Caenorhabditis elegans: one gene and its partner. The protein of the gene in region 1 purifies or fractionates together with the protein of each later gene. This does not show direct contact. Each region holds a gene or a part of one and is shown in the gene's direction. Other genes may lie near its edges.

Evidence for each region. Proteins that work in one complex are often made in the same cells at the same time.
Region 2: the proteins of gst-13 (region 1) and srh-111 fractionate together in Caenorhabditis elegans (co-fractionation; one large-scale study listed by BioGRID). This does not show direct contact.

Annotation. Positions count from the first base shown.
Region 1 is NC_003280.10:9,227,320-9,235,432, forward strand, and holds gst-13 (glutathione transferase), read left to right. Parts: upstream 1-4,137; 5' UTR 4,138-4,221; coding exon 4,222-4,447; intron 4,448-4,508; coding exon 4,509-4,828; intron 4,829-4,875; coding exon 4,876-4,956; 3' UTR 4,957-5,025; downstream 5,026-8,113. Other genes in the region: T26C5.2 (Apple domain-containing protein), read left to right, coding at 5,920-5,977, 6,041-6,159, 6,481-6,610, 7,045-7,857, 7,913-8,043, 8,089-8,113.
Region 2 is NC_003283.11:17,480,825-17,489,144, reverse strand, and holds srh-111 (Serpentine Receptor, class T), read left to right. Parts: upstream 1-3,966; coding exon 3,967-4,327; intron 4,328-4,450; coding exon 4,451-5,100; downstream 5,101-8,320. Other genes in the region: scl-24 (SCP domain-containing protein), read right to left, coding at 1,940-2,051, 2,097-2,296, 2,343-2,477, 2,523-2,714.

The DNA of each region.
Region 1 (8,113 bases):
GCACACTTCGACTCCGCCCCGCGCGGAGCCAGGAGTGCTTAAGCGTTCGAAACAACTCCTTGAATCGGAGGATTGAGGGAGAGTCCAGTACCCTCAAGAGATCTCATCTTTTTGCCTGGAGATAGTGATTGAGACAATGAGGACTAGACGAAAAACATTTCATAATTCATACTCGGAAACCGGAGGTCCTCAAAGCCTTGAAGGGTACTGTAGTTTTGAAATAACCTGTATGACTTGAAGCTTGTATACTTTAGAACTATTCACCAAATGAGTGGATTATTTGTTCAGCTTTGGTAAATTATATAGCTACCAGTAAATTTTCGGAGTAAACCAAAGAATATGATAACGCAACTTGGTAGTTTTTTGAAGCGCATGCTGAAATAAAAATGGTCACACAGCGAAAAATAATTTAATTATCTTTCTTGATTTGTGATTTTAAAAGTTTTTACCACGACTGCTCTAATTTGACGACTCATATCTCGACTGTCATGAGTTATATCAAAAAATGTTCTACTATTGATATATAGATAAACATTTTACACGCATTTGGTTTGTTGACAATTTTTTGATAAAACCAAAGAGAACCGAGATATAAGCTTTCAATGTAAAGCAAAGACAATTCAAAAAACGCTGCTAAAATTGTTTATTTTTCAAAATCTTTCAGTACCTGGAAATATTAAAATCGGTACAATACTTGGATTTTTTAACGTTTTAGATGCACATAATTTATTATGTGTGTGACTTCCTTTTTCAATTTTTCTAAATAAAATTCCATGACCAATGCTTCTAGTTTCCAAATGTTCCGGACACTCTTAGCTTAGATATCAAAAATCTCTGCTTATCACTAAATACAGTATGCTCTCAATGCTCATTTGCTCTCTTCTTCTACCCGCATACTTTTTCATTCTCCTTATGCCCTTTGTAGGAATGTCGTCCCTGCTGACCCCCTCTCGCGAGCAATCATCATCCATAAATAGCAGCAACCGCACTGATTATCTTGTTTAGTTCAAGTTGCGCAATTTTTCGCTTCAAGTATTTCGAACATCTATAAAAAGATGCTCGGAGAAGACTGCTTACATAAAAACACATGTTTGTCGCTTTTCGTATCTCCAAATCTAGCCTGTTCTTTATCTCTTGATCTCCCCTACTTCACAGTGAATAAAAACATTTTTCATTCACATTCTTCATGAACCTGATGAAAAGTTGGTCAACTAAAACTCACACAATTGAAGTATTTGCTTACTTTTCGTATTGAATTTAATGGTCACTTTACCAATGCAATGCAGCTGGTTGCCATGTGAATTCAATTGTGACGTGGAACACGTGGAAAACAACTAGAAACTCCGAGAGGACCGGATTTCTGGGTCAGACATTGATGAGTCATACGGAATCACATCATTTGACAGTTTTAACCGTCTGGAGGCTCCCGGTTGGCAAATAGAAATTTCAATTGAACGCATTTCGTTGTGAGCAGCAATGTATGTAGTTTCTTGTTTTTGACGAGAGCTTATCACGTACAAATTCAGACTACGGTAAAATATTTTCGAAGAGGTACGCATCAATTGTATGTTACACAATCTAGTACCAATTTTTCCTGTTTATGTTTCAGGGCTCGTCGAAGTTGTCAGTAGTAGTAGATATACTTGAACCAATTATGATATCAACTTCCCTACTCATAAATCATGTCAATTTGATATTATTATGTGTACTATAGCTCCCTGCAATATACCTCGGTATTTGCCGGTTAATTTCTGCCTAATTTCGAATAAAAACAATGTACAACTTCTCTTCTAGTTGCACCTTTACAGAAATTCTCAAATGATTCATCCCGTCATTTGTCGGTAAGTCTCTGAACATAAGTTCAATGAATCAAGGTAAGTCAACATGAGTCGTTTCTTCTGTCTTTACTGCGCAGAGCATCGTAAACTGATCACCGAAACAGTTTCCAACTGTATGACTTCTCTTTTTGAGCTAGAGATTTTCCGGTTTAGCTTAATTGAATGGAACATTGTTTGATATTGCAATTGTGCCTATTTATGTTCTTTGACAATTTTTGATAGACATCAAAATTTCAACTTTTAATATATGTTTTGAAAATAGAGATTTTCTGTGAATGTGAAATTTCTCAGGAAAATAGCATTAAATTTTTTTTTTACAATTGCTACTGAACATTTGGAACGGAGTAATTTTTGAACCAAAAATCAAAAAGTGTTGTTTCTATAGCCAGTTTTGGAGCCAGTTTTCCTGTTGTAATTTCCTCTCAAACGATGTTTGGTGTATGTTTCAACGTGTTCTAATCCACGTGTACTTTTCCATGCGCGACCTACATTCAAACAATGATTGCTTTTAAAAAACCGGATCGGTGCAAAAAATGCGTAATACGTTGACACGGTGGGAGGAGGTGCACCCAACATTATAATACTTTTCTTGGAGAAAAGAGAAAGAGAGAGAGAGAGAAGGAAATGGGTGAAATGAGCACATGTTTGTCTGTATATTGTCTTCTCAGGAAACATTTGTGCAAGGAATTGCAAGTGAGAGACCCTAAACACCCGGAATTTTCGAAGCCGACCTTATTTGCCTCGTTTTGAGATGAACACAGTTTTCACGGATATTTGACTCCTATCAGTGACGGGAGTATTGCGGGGGATGCCTTGTCTTGGATGAACAACATTTTGAACTTTAACAATTATTTTTTTTTCAAACTGCTGTCCGAATACAAATTAAAAAAAGTGTACTATTTCAGAAAATAATCCTTACCTTCAAAAGTTCTATTAGTTCTGAAATACTGAGAACAAGACTCGATGAAATAAACTTACGACATAAGTATTTCTCATTTAAGAATAAAAAGTGACCACACGCCTACATCGCCTACACCTACATCGCCTATAAAATTTATTGCTTACCTAATTATTGTGGTCCGTATAATATATTTTTACGACAGCCTATGTAGGCCTATGTAGGTATCCACGTTTGAACCTTTATCAAAGCAGTATAATCAACTTTTCGGCATGATCTTACAATCATAATAATTTTTCCTGAATTTCGGGTCTCGCAATATGTAGATATTGATGGTTTATGTTTCTGATTCTAGCAATAACAGTCTACAAGACACCACAATATTTGCGTCGAAACTATAGACAGTTCAACGATCGAGATCCAAACTATGCTAACATCGGATTCCACACCTTTGTTTTATGATTGTTCAACTATTCTTCAACATCTTGAAACTCGAATACTTCCGGATTGTTCCTTTTATTTGATTGGGGAGTGCATCGGCACCGGATTGATATGAGAAGATAACACCCACCCCGATGGAATTTGTGTGATGATTGCCAAGAATGATTACCGAGCTCGTCGTCGAGCCTTAAAAAATAATCTGCCGGAAATGATAATCTGTCGATGCTCTTTGCGAGATGCCATATCATATCGTCCCATGTGTACTCACATTCTCTAATCTTCTCCATCAAGGTCTCACTGGGGGAGGCTCTCAGGCACACTGAACCGGTCAATTTGGTTGTGTTGCCGATGGAAGAGAATCTGATGGTCAGAGTCTGTTTGCGCTCTCTTTTTTTGCATTTCTCTGCGCACTGAGTCGTTGTAAAATGTTTGATGGAAAAAAGAAAAGACAAAGGAATTTGAAAGTTGAGGAAAAAAATTATAAGAAGAGCAAGAGGTAAAAGGGCATAACAGGGATTGACCTGGTTTTTACAAGTTGCACTAAATCTAGAACAACCAACTTGGAAACTTGTCAACGGCTAAAAATTTCAATAGAACTTTAGCAAAAATCGACTAATCGAGCAATGCAATTCTATCGGTGACTGAACTGAGATTATTTTTGAAAAACTAAATTAAAAATCGCATTACAAATTCTAAGAGAATTAAAAAACGAAGCTCTTTAATTTCCAAAAACATTTCAGTTTCGCTTCGAACAGTTATGCATTTTCTAAATCCTTCAGTATGCTTTCCTGGTTTCAAAATAACGATATTTTCACAGAAAATTCTTTGTCTGCAAAGTTATTCATAAAATGACGTTTTATGTACCTGCCTCGTATCAAATTGGTTTTTTGGCCTCAACCATGTGTCTTATTCTCTCAATTTCCGTACACTTTCACCCAGTTCACTATCAATTGTCATCATGTAGAAAACAAATAAATACTCTCTACTGATGTTCTCCAATATGATTATCAGTTTTCTATTGATTGTTTTATTGTATTAACAACCATGGTTCACTATAAGCTTACATATTTCTTGTCTCGTGGACTTGGAGACGTTTCTCGTCAGCTGTTCCATTTGGCAGACGTAGATTTCGAAGACGAGAGGCTTGAAAAGCCTCACTTTTTGGAGAAGAAAGAGACATATCCATTCAAACAAGTCCCAGTGCTCTCTGTTGATGGATTTCAAATTCCCCAATCTATGGCAATTGCTAGGTACTTGGCAAAGAAGTTTGGTATGTAAAGTTTCTATACACTTTAATAAAACAAGCTTATTCCGTAAATTATTTATTTCAGGATTCGCAGGAAAAACAGCTGAAGAGTCAGCAATGGTGGATGCATTTGTCGACCAATTCAAAGACTTTTACTCCGAAATTCGTGACTATTACTACACCATGTTAGGTCTTGGATTGACTGATCTGGACGGTGATGAACAGAAGGATAAGGTCCTGATTCCGGCAAGAGACAAATTTCTGCCACTTCTTACCAGATATCTTGAGAAGAGCAAGTCAGGATTTTTAGTGGACGGAGGCCTTACTTTTGCTGATTTGATTATTCTTGATAACATGACGTCGCTTCTCAATTGGTGGCCAGAATATGCAAATGATTATCCAGTGGTTCGTTATTAAAATAAGTTTTATGAAGATGTATCTGTCAGTTTCAGATTCTTGCTTGGAGGGATAAGGTGATGAACTATCCGAGATTGAAAGAATACATTGAGAAGAGACCAGTCACTATGTACTAATTTTATAGAATTAAAGTTTAATTTTTCATAGATTTTTTAAAAAAAGTTCAAATAAACTATTATTTTAAAAAATGTTCAAATATTTACAATTTAAATTTCTGTTTTTACTTCGACTTTTTAAGAATTCCGTTTTCAAAAAAAAAACAATGATATCACTTAAAAATATATCTCCCGGTTGATAGAAATTTTAAAATAATCGGTCAGGAATTACATATTGGTTGTGAAGTTTTATTGAAAATTTGGAATTATGAACACTTAAACTTGTTCAGTTTTCTTCAAAGCTTCCTCTCGTTGCAATTACAAACAATTTATTTATCAAAAAATATTTTGCTAATTATTCGCATGATTATCGCAAACATACGATGAATCCCTCAGGTGCGAGAAAAGTGAAAAGATATATTTCTTTTCCGAAAAGAAAAGTCTTTTTGATTTAAAATGGAAAGTTGCACTTGTTGATTGATGCATTTTCCCTTCTTCATCGTCTTCTCCTGATCCTTAAGCCTTGTCTCAAAACGCTCCGCCCTCTTTCCCTCGTCCCGGTTTTCGTTTATCAGCTTAACACGAGCTAGTATCGACTAGCCGTCGTTGTACAGACGAATTAGGTCAGAAAATGGAATCTATTGTTCCTGAAAAGAAACGCATTTTGGACGGAATTCATTGGCGTCTAATCGTGTTTCATTTTCATGCTTTTTCTTTTGTTTTTGAGTTAGCTTTGTTTCAAACTAGAATTATTGTTTCAAGTGTTTATTGGATTTTTTGGTCTTGTAGCTAAAGTTCGGTCCGTTGTACTGCTGGTTGCCAATCAAAAAACTAAAAAAAAACATTTTCTCACCCGCTAATCGTTTCAACTCTTGTAAAGACATTCCTATTTTAATCCCACAATTGTTTTCTTATTAAAAACCTTTATTAAACGGATTTCCAAAAAATAAACAAAATTGGAATTTCAGGTGTTGCCTCTCAGAAATGAGGATTTATATTCTACTTGCGGTGTTCATCAGTTCTTGTCTTGCAGACACAAGTGGTTAGTCTACCATTTCTAGATTCATCTCTCGCAAAAAAGCTTGCAAAAAGCATTATTTTTTAGTTCTTCGTCCATGTTTCGAACGATATCCAAACCATCGGCTAGTCAATGTCAGACCATATCATAGTGAATGGAGAATGAAAACAGAGGATATGTGCTTGCTCTTCTGTGCACAATCTGCGGTAAAATATTATTTTTAAAACATTTTTGATATTTAAATGCTCGTTAGAGATTTCAAAACATTTTTTAATCGGAAGTTTATGGTAAATCCACAGAACAGTTGTTCTCATTTTATATTTTTTTGTTAAAAAAATAAATTCAACAGTCGGAAACTTACTGTAGCAGGTAGATAATAAATATTTGATTGAACTCCTAAAATCATTTTTTCTCTGGTATGGTTGATACTTTTCATGTTCTCAATAAGGAAAATGCCAATTTGTTAGAACGCTTTTTTAAAAATACGAAATTCAATTAACAGAAAATATAAAATAATTATGTTTCAGTCTCGATGCCGTTCAGTCGTATACGACACTGTTCAACACATCTGCCACTACTTCTCGGATGAAGGCGTCGATCAGGCAATCCTATCAGCCAAAATGACCTACCTTCGTGTCGTGTCTCAATCTTGTTTGCGTGAGTCTTTTTTGATTTATTTCGGACACATTTCTTCTTTTGTCTCTTTTTCTGGAGAAGAGGTATTCTGTTCGGAGATAACAGGGAAGAGAGGGAATCGAGATATTTTGTAATGATAATTGTGATAAAAGTGAAAATTTTGGAGTGGATAAGTTGGAGGATCGTGCAGATTGTGGTTTGATTTCATCGTTCAGAAGGTTCAAAAACATTTTTCAAGCATGTTACACAGTTTTTTGTAATCTTTCAAAACCTCGGACTATTAGTTGATTAAACTTCAAAGTTAGAATTCTAGAATAATTCAGAAAATAATTTAAAGGAAATTTAAAGAAAATTCCCTTTTTTAGCCCACTTAAAAAAAGAACGAAAGGTGACAAAGCGTTTTAGTTGCTGCGCTCGGCTGGTTACGATGCCAAGTAGTAATTTCATATTTTCAGAAGAAAGCTCCGAAATTGCCTCGGATCCGAAAACTTCACCACCAGATGCTCCACCAACTCTTCTTCCAAATTCCTTTAATAGTATTAATGAAATTCAACAAGATATCCACGAAGAACTCGCAATTCCACAACCACCAACAGAAGAAGAGCAGATTACGTCGACCGAAGCTTCCATTCCAGAAGTTGTTACATTCGAAACTGCTACCCAGGAAGCTATGAATAATGATGAAGATCTAGCTGTTGTTACAACTGAAAAACCATTTGTCCCTCCAACTTCTACCTCAGAAAATGTTAATATTGATGAAGAAGATTTGGATGCTGAATTGAAATCTGTAATGGAACAACCATCACAATTCACAGGATCATTTGCTGATTCTGATGCTCAAATTGATAATAATGGTGTCTATAGAGATAAGACTTCAAGCGAACAAAGATGGATGAATTCCATGGAAAAAATGGATGTGAAGCCTTCTGAAACTAAAAAATCAATCGATGAAAAACTAGAGGACCTCAAGACAGAAAACAAAGATAAATATGAAATGTTGATGGGAACGAGTCAAGAATCCGATCCGGAAGTTGCAGTGGAAACTCAAAAACTTAAGAATAACTTGAGATACGGAGCAAAGGTTATTAAATTCGACGAAGAAGCAGCATTTAGAAAACAATCCGAATTGAGAAGAAAGCCAGTTGGAGCAAAGAGAAGACCTGATCTGAAACCAGTTACAATTTCTTCAACGAGTTATATTCAAAAAGCAAAATCATTCTTGGATGAGGTTAACGAAGAAGAGGAGAATGAAAACATTATTGAAACAGGTAAAAAATTGATTAAAAAATGAATTCAAAACTTCCAATCTAGTTGTTATTTCAGAATGCCAACAAGACGATGTTGATGTGTGGATCGCTTTTGAGAACAGCGCACAAGCTGAAGAATCAGAAAACGTTGATATCGATTCAAATGTTCCAAATAAAAGAGAGTGCGAGAAAATTTGCAAAGAGAAGGTACTTTTTTCATTATAAAAATCACCCAAATAACCATCATTCCAGAATTGCCGATCTTACACTTACTTCG
Region 2 (8,320 bases), on another chromosome or scaffold:
GCAAGCGCTGCTAAAAACCACACCAGAACCACGTGTTTTTGCATATATAAACTCGCGTGTATGTTTATATATCGTGCGCGAAGGATGGTGTAGTGGATAGAGGCCTCCAACACTGCGAGAACGACGACGGTTCGAGTTCGGCAACTAGTGAAAATGGGCGGAGCAATGGGGTACCCCGTGGATCATGATGGTGAGACTGTCCAGGTATTCGGTAGGGTAAGGAAGGGTTCTAGGGAAAAGGTGAACATGGGGGAATACCCTTTTCCATTTTTCTTCGAAAACCCAAAACCACGCCAGCGCTGACGTAAACCATGCCAGTAATGACGAAAACCACATCATCACTCGAGAAAACCACTATGTTCTACTGCCCGATCTCGAGTGGTTTTTCACCAGGGCTGGTGTGGTTTTTGTCGGGTACTGGTGTGGTTCCAAATCACTGAGTGTGTGCAATTTTGTGTATGGATGCATTATAATATTTTCGTTTTTAGCTGCGGTACAACGATTCGTGATTCTGTACATTTCAAAGTACAAATGGCTAGTGACGGGGTTAGTTTGTTGATAACGTCGCTACAGCAGGCGATGTCAGAAAGTTCACTAAGTTTTCAATGGCATTTAATACATTAACATTTCATTAAACAGCTGCATTTACGCATTCACACTTGATGTTTGTGCTACTGTAAAATTCCTCTGTAAAACTTTGAAATTTTGTTTTTCAAAGTTTGATGTTTTATAACACATGTTCATCGATACTTGTTCGTTCCACACGTTTACACCAAGGGTGTGCGGCAAATCTCAAAATTTGCCGAGCTCGGCAAATTCGGCAAATCTATTTTTCCAATATTTGCCGAGCACGGCAAATTCGGCAAATTTGCCGTGCTTAACAAACTCGGAAAAATTTGATGTTTTTTGGAGCACCAAAACTACTGAATTCTTAACAAATATCTGGTTTCTAAATAAGCTCCGTGTAGTGTGTCTACTGAAACATCAAAATAACTCAATTTTGTGTCACTTTACTAAATTTTTGGCGAAAAAATCAATAGCTTTGGTCAAAATTGCACTGTCAAATTTTTGACGTGTGCGGAAAATTTCAAAATTTGCCGTGCTCGGTAAATTCGGCAAATTTTCCGAGTTCGGCAAACGGCAAATTCGGCAAATTCGGAAAATTTGCCGCACACCCCTGGTTTACACGTGACAGATTTAAAATGAACCCCTAATAAAGTCTGAATACTGTAGGTCCAACCTGTCAAAGCTCATAACCTTTGCCTATGTACTCAGTATTTTCTATTGCTGGGTTTATGGTACGTTTACTTACTTTTTTCCAAATAAAAGCAATTAAACTTTGTATTCAGGTTCTTTGCTTGGAGCGAATTCTTCTCCGACATGGGAAGATATCGCTTTCGTAGTGTACAATTTCATATTTTTTATAATGACCCTAACTTCTGGATTATTTTATTACCATCTTTACCAACTTTTGAAAAAGCTACATTCAGATGTGATTCCAGAAACTCAAATATTATACCGCGTTGTTCCTATTTATAGTCTACAAGTGGTAGAGTCAAAGTTATAACTACAATTTGTTTTTTTTTAACTTTCAGGTCTTCACTTTGATAGCTCTAATGCAATGTATACTTGGCTACTATGAATATAAGGAGATCAAAAATGTTCTCTCTGCAGTTTCAATGTTTCTACCTCATTTCACCCCAATTATCATTTCATTATCCTACACAGCGTCCATGCAGCCAATACGATCAGTGGCTATTTCAATAGTTTATCCAATTTTCAAAGAGTCTTCAGTGTGATGCTGTAAAATTTGTAAATTTTTTAAAATCAAATCAGCGACTCTTTATTTATCGCGAAATTCCCTTGATTTTTGGTTACTTGATGCATTTGTATAGAAATCAGGTTAATGCTCGACCAATTTATTTAACATTTTTAGAACTCATTTACAAAGTTTCATCATTTCATTTGGATCAGTTCCACACGATGTCCCACTTGGGCAGTTAGAGCATGGCTCTCCTTTGTCGAACAGTTGCTCATCAATATTCTCCAAACTGAAATTAAAACTTTACAAACGCAATTTCAGGTTGAAAACTCACGGAGGACTATACTTGCAGATAACAAGACGAGTGTTATAGTTGATCCCCTTTGAATCAATCTTGTCACAACTTTCGTAGATACATCCAATTGACTTAGATTTAGAGTAAAGCATTTGTCTAAGACGATTCTTTGTAGCTTTCTCTTCGGATTTCAGCGCATTGTGTGTATCCTTATTAATACTTCCCATTGCTCCAACGCCCTGAATCCCGACAATTTAAACGTTTTTTTTTGTTATGGAAACTCACATCAATATCGTCATAAGTATTGACATCGTATTGGTAGATGTTATCTCCAAGTTTGATAGGTAGGTTTTTGTTATCAGCAGGTTCACAGTAGTATTTTTCATTCTCGACTTCAGCAACCAATGACTCATTCCAGGACTAAAAATATATAATGAAATTAATTTAAAATTGAAAAAAACTTACCAGAAGTTGCATGTTTGACGATTTGGAGATGCTGTAGCGTTCCCAAAGTCCATGCGAAGCAGCGTTTCTTAGCTTGTTATGAATGAAAACAATATTATCGATTGCTTCTGCGTTCCATTGATGTTGTGGATTGAAGTGACGTTCAGCATGGGCAGCTGCAGTAAGAGCCAGGAGGAGAATGATAAGCTTCATCGTAAGCAGTGATACTTTTCAAAACAAATCAGATCTCTTTTATACTTTTGCTATAGACAGCGAAGTGCAAACCAACAAAAGGAAACCTCAAATATTATAGTCTGCAAACCGTGTGTTTTGATTCTTATGGAGATAATTTCCAAGTTTCCATGCATAGTTCCTACATTCTTGTTTCAATGATGTTTACATAGCTGCTCCCACACACTCAAATCTGTTTTTTTGATGAGACCTTTTATGTGCCCTGAAATCAAAAAATCAAAAACTGTCTGGTCAGATTTGGAAATATCTAGGAAAAACTAACAAAATCGAATAAGAAAAATCGATTTTTTTTCCAAAAGTGAGACAATTGCGGCTTCAAGGTATTTAAAAAAAATTATCCAACTCAGAGTAATGACTTTAAAACGAAAATTCCATAAAACCACGTCATTTAGAAGAAGCCAACACCGTTTGAAAAAAATGGCAAACGACTTTTTCCGGCAAATCGGCGAATTGTCGGAACTGAAAACTTCTGGCAAGTTGGCAACCGGCAAATTGCCGATTTGCCGGAAGAACGGCAATCACCGAAAATTTTTTGGCAAACTGTGGTTTTGCACTTTTTTTGGATATTTCAGAATAACAGGAAAAAATTCCAAAAAGGCACAGTTTTAAGTGTATCCGTCTTATAAAAAATCCCTCTAAAAACTTTAGAGATGCAGATGTTTGGCAAACTGCAAATCGACAACGTGCTGAAAATCAACATTTCCGGCAAATCGGCAAATCGGAAAATTGCCGGAAATGAAAATTTCCTGCTTATCGGCAAACCGGCCTTTTGTGCCGATTTTTCGACAAAAAAATTTGCCAAACGGCAATTGCCCAAACACGTATTTAGTCAAATTGACAAAAAATACGTTGTATCATTTTTGTAGCTCAAAAAGTGGATGATTTTTTTCAATACACGTGCAAAATTTGCTCATATTTAAATGTGTACTAAGTTTTTTGCAAAAAATTTATTAAATTAGTTTTTTTTTTGGATTAAAATATTTCGATGCAATTAATAACGTTGTTTTATGTATATATTTCTGAACGACTCTTTACAAAAGATAACAGAGCCTATAAAAAAACTTGTCAGGAAAGAGAATTTTTGAATGATCAAAAAGATCAGTGTACTAAAGTAGACCTTCTTGAATTTTTTTGCTTTTTTTCAGCCCCTAATAAAATCACCTGCAGTAGTTTGTTCGCAAAAATTTATTAATTTTCCATTAACGTCTAAACTATGTCGACGGCATTGGAGCAGTATTATGCGACAAATTACACAAAATGTAATATATCCTATAACATTCTTGCTACGTGGCAAGCAGTTGCCTATCCAATACACATTATTCAATTTATCTCATTGCCTTTTCAAATCCTAGCGTTCTACATTATTGTCACGAAGACCCCGCCAAGAATGAAACCAATGCAATTACCACTATTTCTAAACCACTTATTTTGTGCTTTGTTCGATATTTGTATGTGCTCACTTTCTACTTTATACTTTTTCCAGCCGATAATGGCGTTTGCGAGTGTTGGTGTGCTCAACTGGTTGGGCGTACCATTCGTTTATCAGGCAGTGCTAGGAGGATCAATGCTTGCTGGTAAGTGTTTTCCTAACAATTCCCGAGTGCGCATTTACCACCATATTTGGCGCATCTTCTTACGGTAGTTACTGAAAGTTACTGAAGAGCTTAGCCTTTTCTAGTAAAATTTCGTCATTGCAGGTGTTGCCGGTTCATACGTCTTCCTATTCGAAAGCCGTAGCAGTTCTTTACCCGAAAATCGATTCCGAATTTATCGCAAAACATCTCGTTTCGCCTATTTCACATATTTTCTCATTCCGTTCATAGCGGCTTACGTAGGCATGCTAATGATTGCCGAGGAATCAGATGCTGGAAAATTACGGGCTCTAGCTATTTACCCTTGCCCTACACGAGAGTTTTTCATATTCCCTGTTTGTGTATTCGAGGGCACGACGAGCCACATTTTTCTCGTTTATGCCTTGGTTATGTCACATACATCTGGAAACATTATATTTCATGTCGCATGTCTCGTATACTACCTTTATATTGCGCCACCACGCACACTATCTCAAAATACTCGAAGAGATCAGAAAATATTCTTAGTCTGCGTGACGGCACAGACTTCGGTACCACTTTTGGTTATAATCGCTCCGGCCATGATCGTTTTGTTAGCATCGTGGGCTGGATATTATCGTCAAGAATGGATGAGTTTGGCTGCAATTTGTGTTGCAACTCACGGGCTCGCCGAGAGCATTGCGATCATGATGGTGCACAAACCCTATCGAGCAGCGATTAGGAAAATGCTCCGAAAAGAAAATACAATCGTTATGCACAGAAGTGTAGAATTATAATGTTGAAATAATAATTTGTAGATCAAGCTCTATTATAATAGTATTTTCCTAAATAAAATTTAATATCTTAAAGTTTAACGATTTATTAAAAATGATGTTTTATCAATTAAAGACTAAAAAGACCAGGTGCTAAGACTTACAAATATAACTTTCAAAAACCAGAAAAATTGGTTGATAGTTTTGAGAATTTTGCAACGAAAAATGGAAAAAAAAAGTGGCGGGAAGCGAATGAATTTGGATTTCGACTGATTTCACGAGGAGAGACAGGTTTATTTTAACGTATTGTCCAAATAAATAATTTTTTAGGCTTAAGATTTTTATTTTATTATTATTAAGATTTTTATTATGTTTATACTTAGGCCTTGGCTCAGGCTTAGGCTTTGAATTTCGCTTAGGCATAGGCTTAGGCAGTTAATTTCAGGCTTAGGCTTAAACAGTTAATCAAACAGTTGGTTAAATGAAAAACTAAACAATTAAAAAAAATCAAATTTCCGCTTGCAAAAACGCTTGCAAAAATGATATTATAAACCTTGAGCATTGCCTACACTTTTCAGTAAGCTCTCTATTCTCTTTACTCTTTCTGTGAATAATCACTCGTGATGGTTGTTCGGAATTAGAATAACTTTTTCCGAAAGAAAACTGCGACGGTTGTTAACTTTGAAGACTCATTCTGAAAACAAATTCACACAAACGCAGTAATTATTAATCGATGTGACATAGTTGTTTTAGCTATCGATATGTTCATTGTAAAAACAGTTTTCCAAAGAAGCCAGGCACCTCATGAACTGGTCATCAAGAACTCAGACGTTTCGGTGAATTGATATTACTGAAAGTCATCTTGCAGTGAAGGAGAAAAATAAGAATCTGACACATTTGTTATTAATATTTGAGAACATGCTTTCATTCACTCGAATGTGAGAACAATGTTCTCGGAAAACTTCCTTCCATTCGCTTGAAGGAGTAATGTAATTGGCTGTTCATAATACAGGGTGGTCCATAATTATGGTGACCACTTCTTGCGCCTATAAAATTTGATAGAACTTTCTAAACATAGTTAAACCACACAGGTTTTATTCACAATTTTCTAGCAAACAAAAAATGATATTAAACTTTGAAAATATCTGCTTGTGCGACTGAGCAGAACCCCTGAAACAAAGAAAAAAATTTGTCGTTGGCACGCTACTTGCCTATATTTTGCTTTCTCAGGTCCTTTCTAGCTTCTCCTGCAGATAAGAGATGTTTTATGACACATTTCAAGATGTTTTAAATCGGAGAATTCGTTTTATAGTACATTTTATATAGTTGCAAATCTCACGCCTCTGTAGTGGACGGTTAAAGTAAGTTAAAGTATGAACGTTGAAATGTCAGACGTTCGACTCGTCATGGCACTCATGAGAAAAACATTTGTTTTGAATATAATTTGACCCTATTCTACTAATATTTTTCTCAATTACTGTAAAAAATTGTGACATTATCGTACCAGGTAACAGAGATATGGCCAAATCTGTGTTCATTTTTCAGATTTTTTAAAAATATAGTGAAAAAAGGGCTGTGGATAATTCCAAACATTCATTTGGCAGAAGCTGGAAATGAATGTAACACACACCGCAGCTGTTGAATCTTAAAGAAATATATTTTTTCTTCTAAAATAGTAGACTAACTGTGAAATGAACCCGTTTCAAAACTCCCACGATCAAAAATTTGCTGCGTGCCAAAAGGTCGTCTGCATGAAAAGATGCGTTACTTTGACGGCGCTACTACAACTCCGTTGTTTGACAAATGAAAAAGTTTTTTATGTTAAATAGGAGGAAAATATTTTTTCTATTGCTTCAATACAAGAATGTTGAATTTTAACGTTTAAGTTGCGTAAAAACAAGCCGCGACTGAGCGCGACACTGGTCACCATAATTATGGACCACCCTGTATAATAGTATGTTATGTGGTTTTTTTTTCTCTTTTTCTCCATGGGAGTAACAAACAAAAGCCAGAAATGAACGAGACAGAGGAAAGAAAAATTTTCTCTTGTGTTTCCCAGAACAAATTTTAATTTTTTTTCGCTGTTTTCACGATATATTTCGTTGTTCTACAACTCGGAGAACGCCTTTCCGATTTTTCTTTCTCAAACTTCATTTAAGACATTTCGGCCCATTTTTAAATGCCAAAATTTTTAAGGTGCAATTTTCCAGATTATGTCCACTTCCTCATATTTTGCTTCACCAGAATTTTTGGCCCTGGCAACCCATCTTGTCACTTGCTTCGAAATCCCAACATTCATCTATGGAGCCTATTGTATTCAGTTCAAGACACCGGAAAAGATGAAATCAGTGAAATGGCTCATGTGAAACATTCACTTTTGGAGCACCGTATCTGATCTCACAATTTGCTTAATAGGTGTGCCATATCTACACTTGCCATGTATTGCTGTGCATGTGCTCGGGTTTTTCGATGCTCCTGGTGAATTGCTATATGTCCTGGTGACATTTTTAGGAGGTAAGTAGGTTTCATATAAAAAATTCAATTTCAAACTATAAAGGTGTTTGATAATACAATTTCCAGCCCTTGGAGTTTCGATTATCATAATTTACGAAAACCGTTTCTACACTATCATCGGCCCAGACTCTCTCTGGCATTACATGAGAAAAATCTATTTACCACTGATGTACATATTCCCGCTCACCTTCACACTGCCAATCTGGGCAGTTATGCCAATACAGGAAAACGCTCGCCCATGCGATGAAGCTTTACAACTAGAAAATATTCACATGGAATCGAAGAAAATATTCATTATATCCGTCGATCCAATAATTTCAGTCACTTGGGGTGTGACTAATTGTATACTCATCGTTACACCTATCATAACGTTCTTACAACTTCTCGAAAACCAAAAAACACACAAATACTCCTACCAAACAATTCAACTTCAGAAGACTTTCTTATTGTCCATGTCAGTACAATTCGGCTCTTTTTTCGTTATCATTTTTATTCCTGTGCTTCTTTTGCACGGCTCCGTCATATTCTGGTATCATGATCAAGTTCTTAACAACTTTATCACAATCATGTTTTCATCATTCGGAACTGGATCCACAGTAGTGATGATTCTAGTTTACAAACCGTACAGGCGGTTTACGTTTTCAGGTTGCAACAAGAAAAAAGTGAGCCGGAGAGAGGCAATAGTTGCTCAGACCATTATTTGAGTGAATGAAGCATTGATATTTAATTT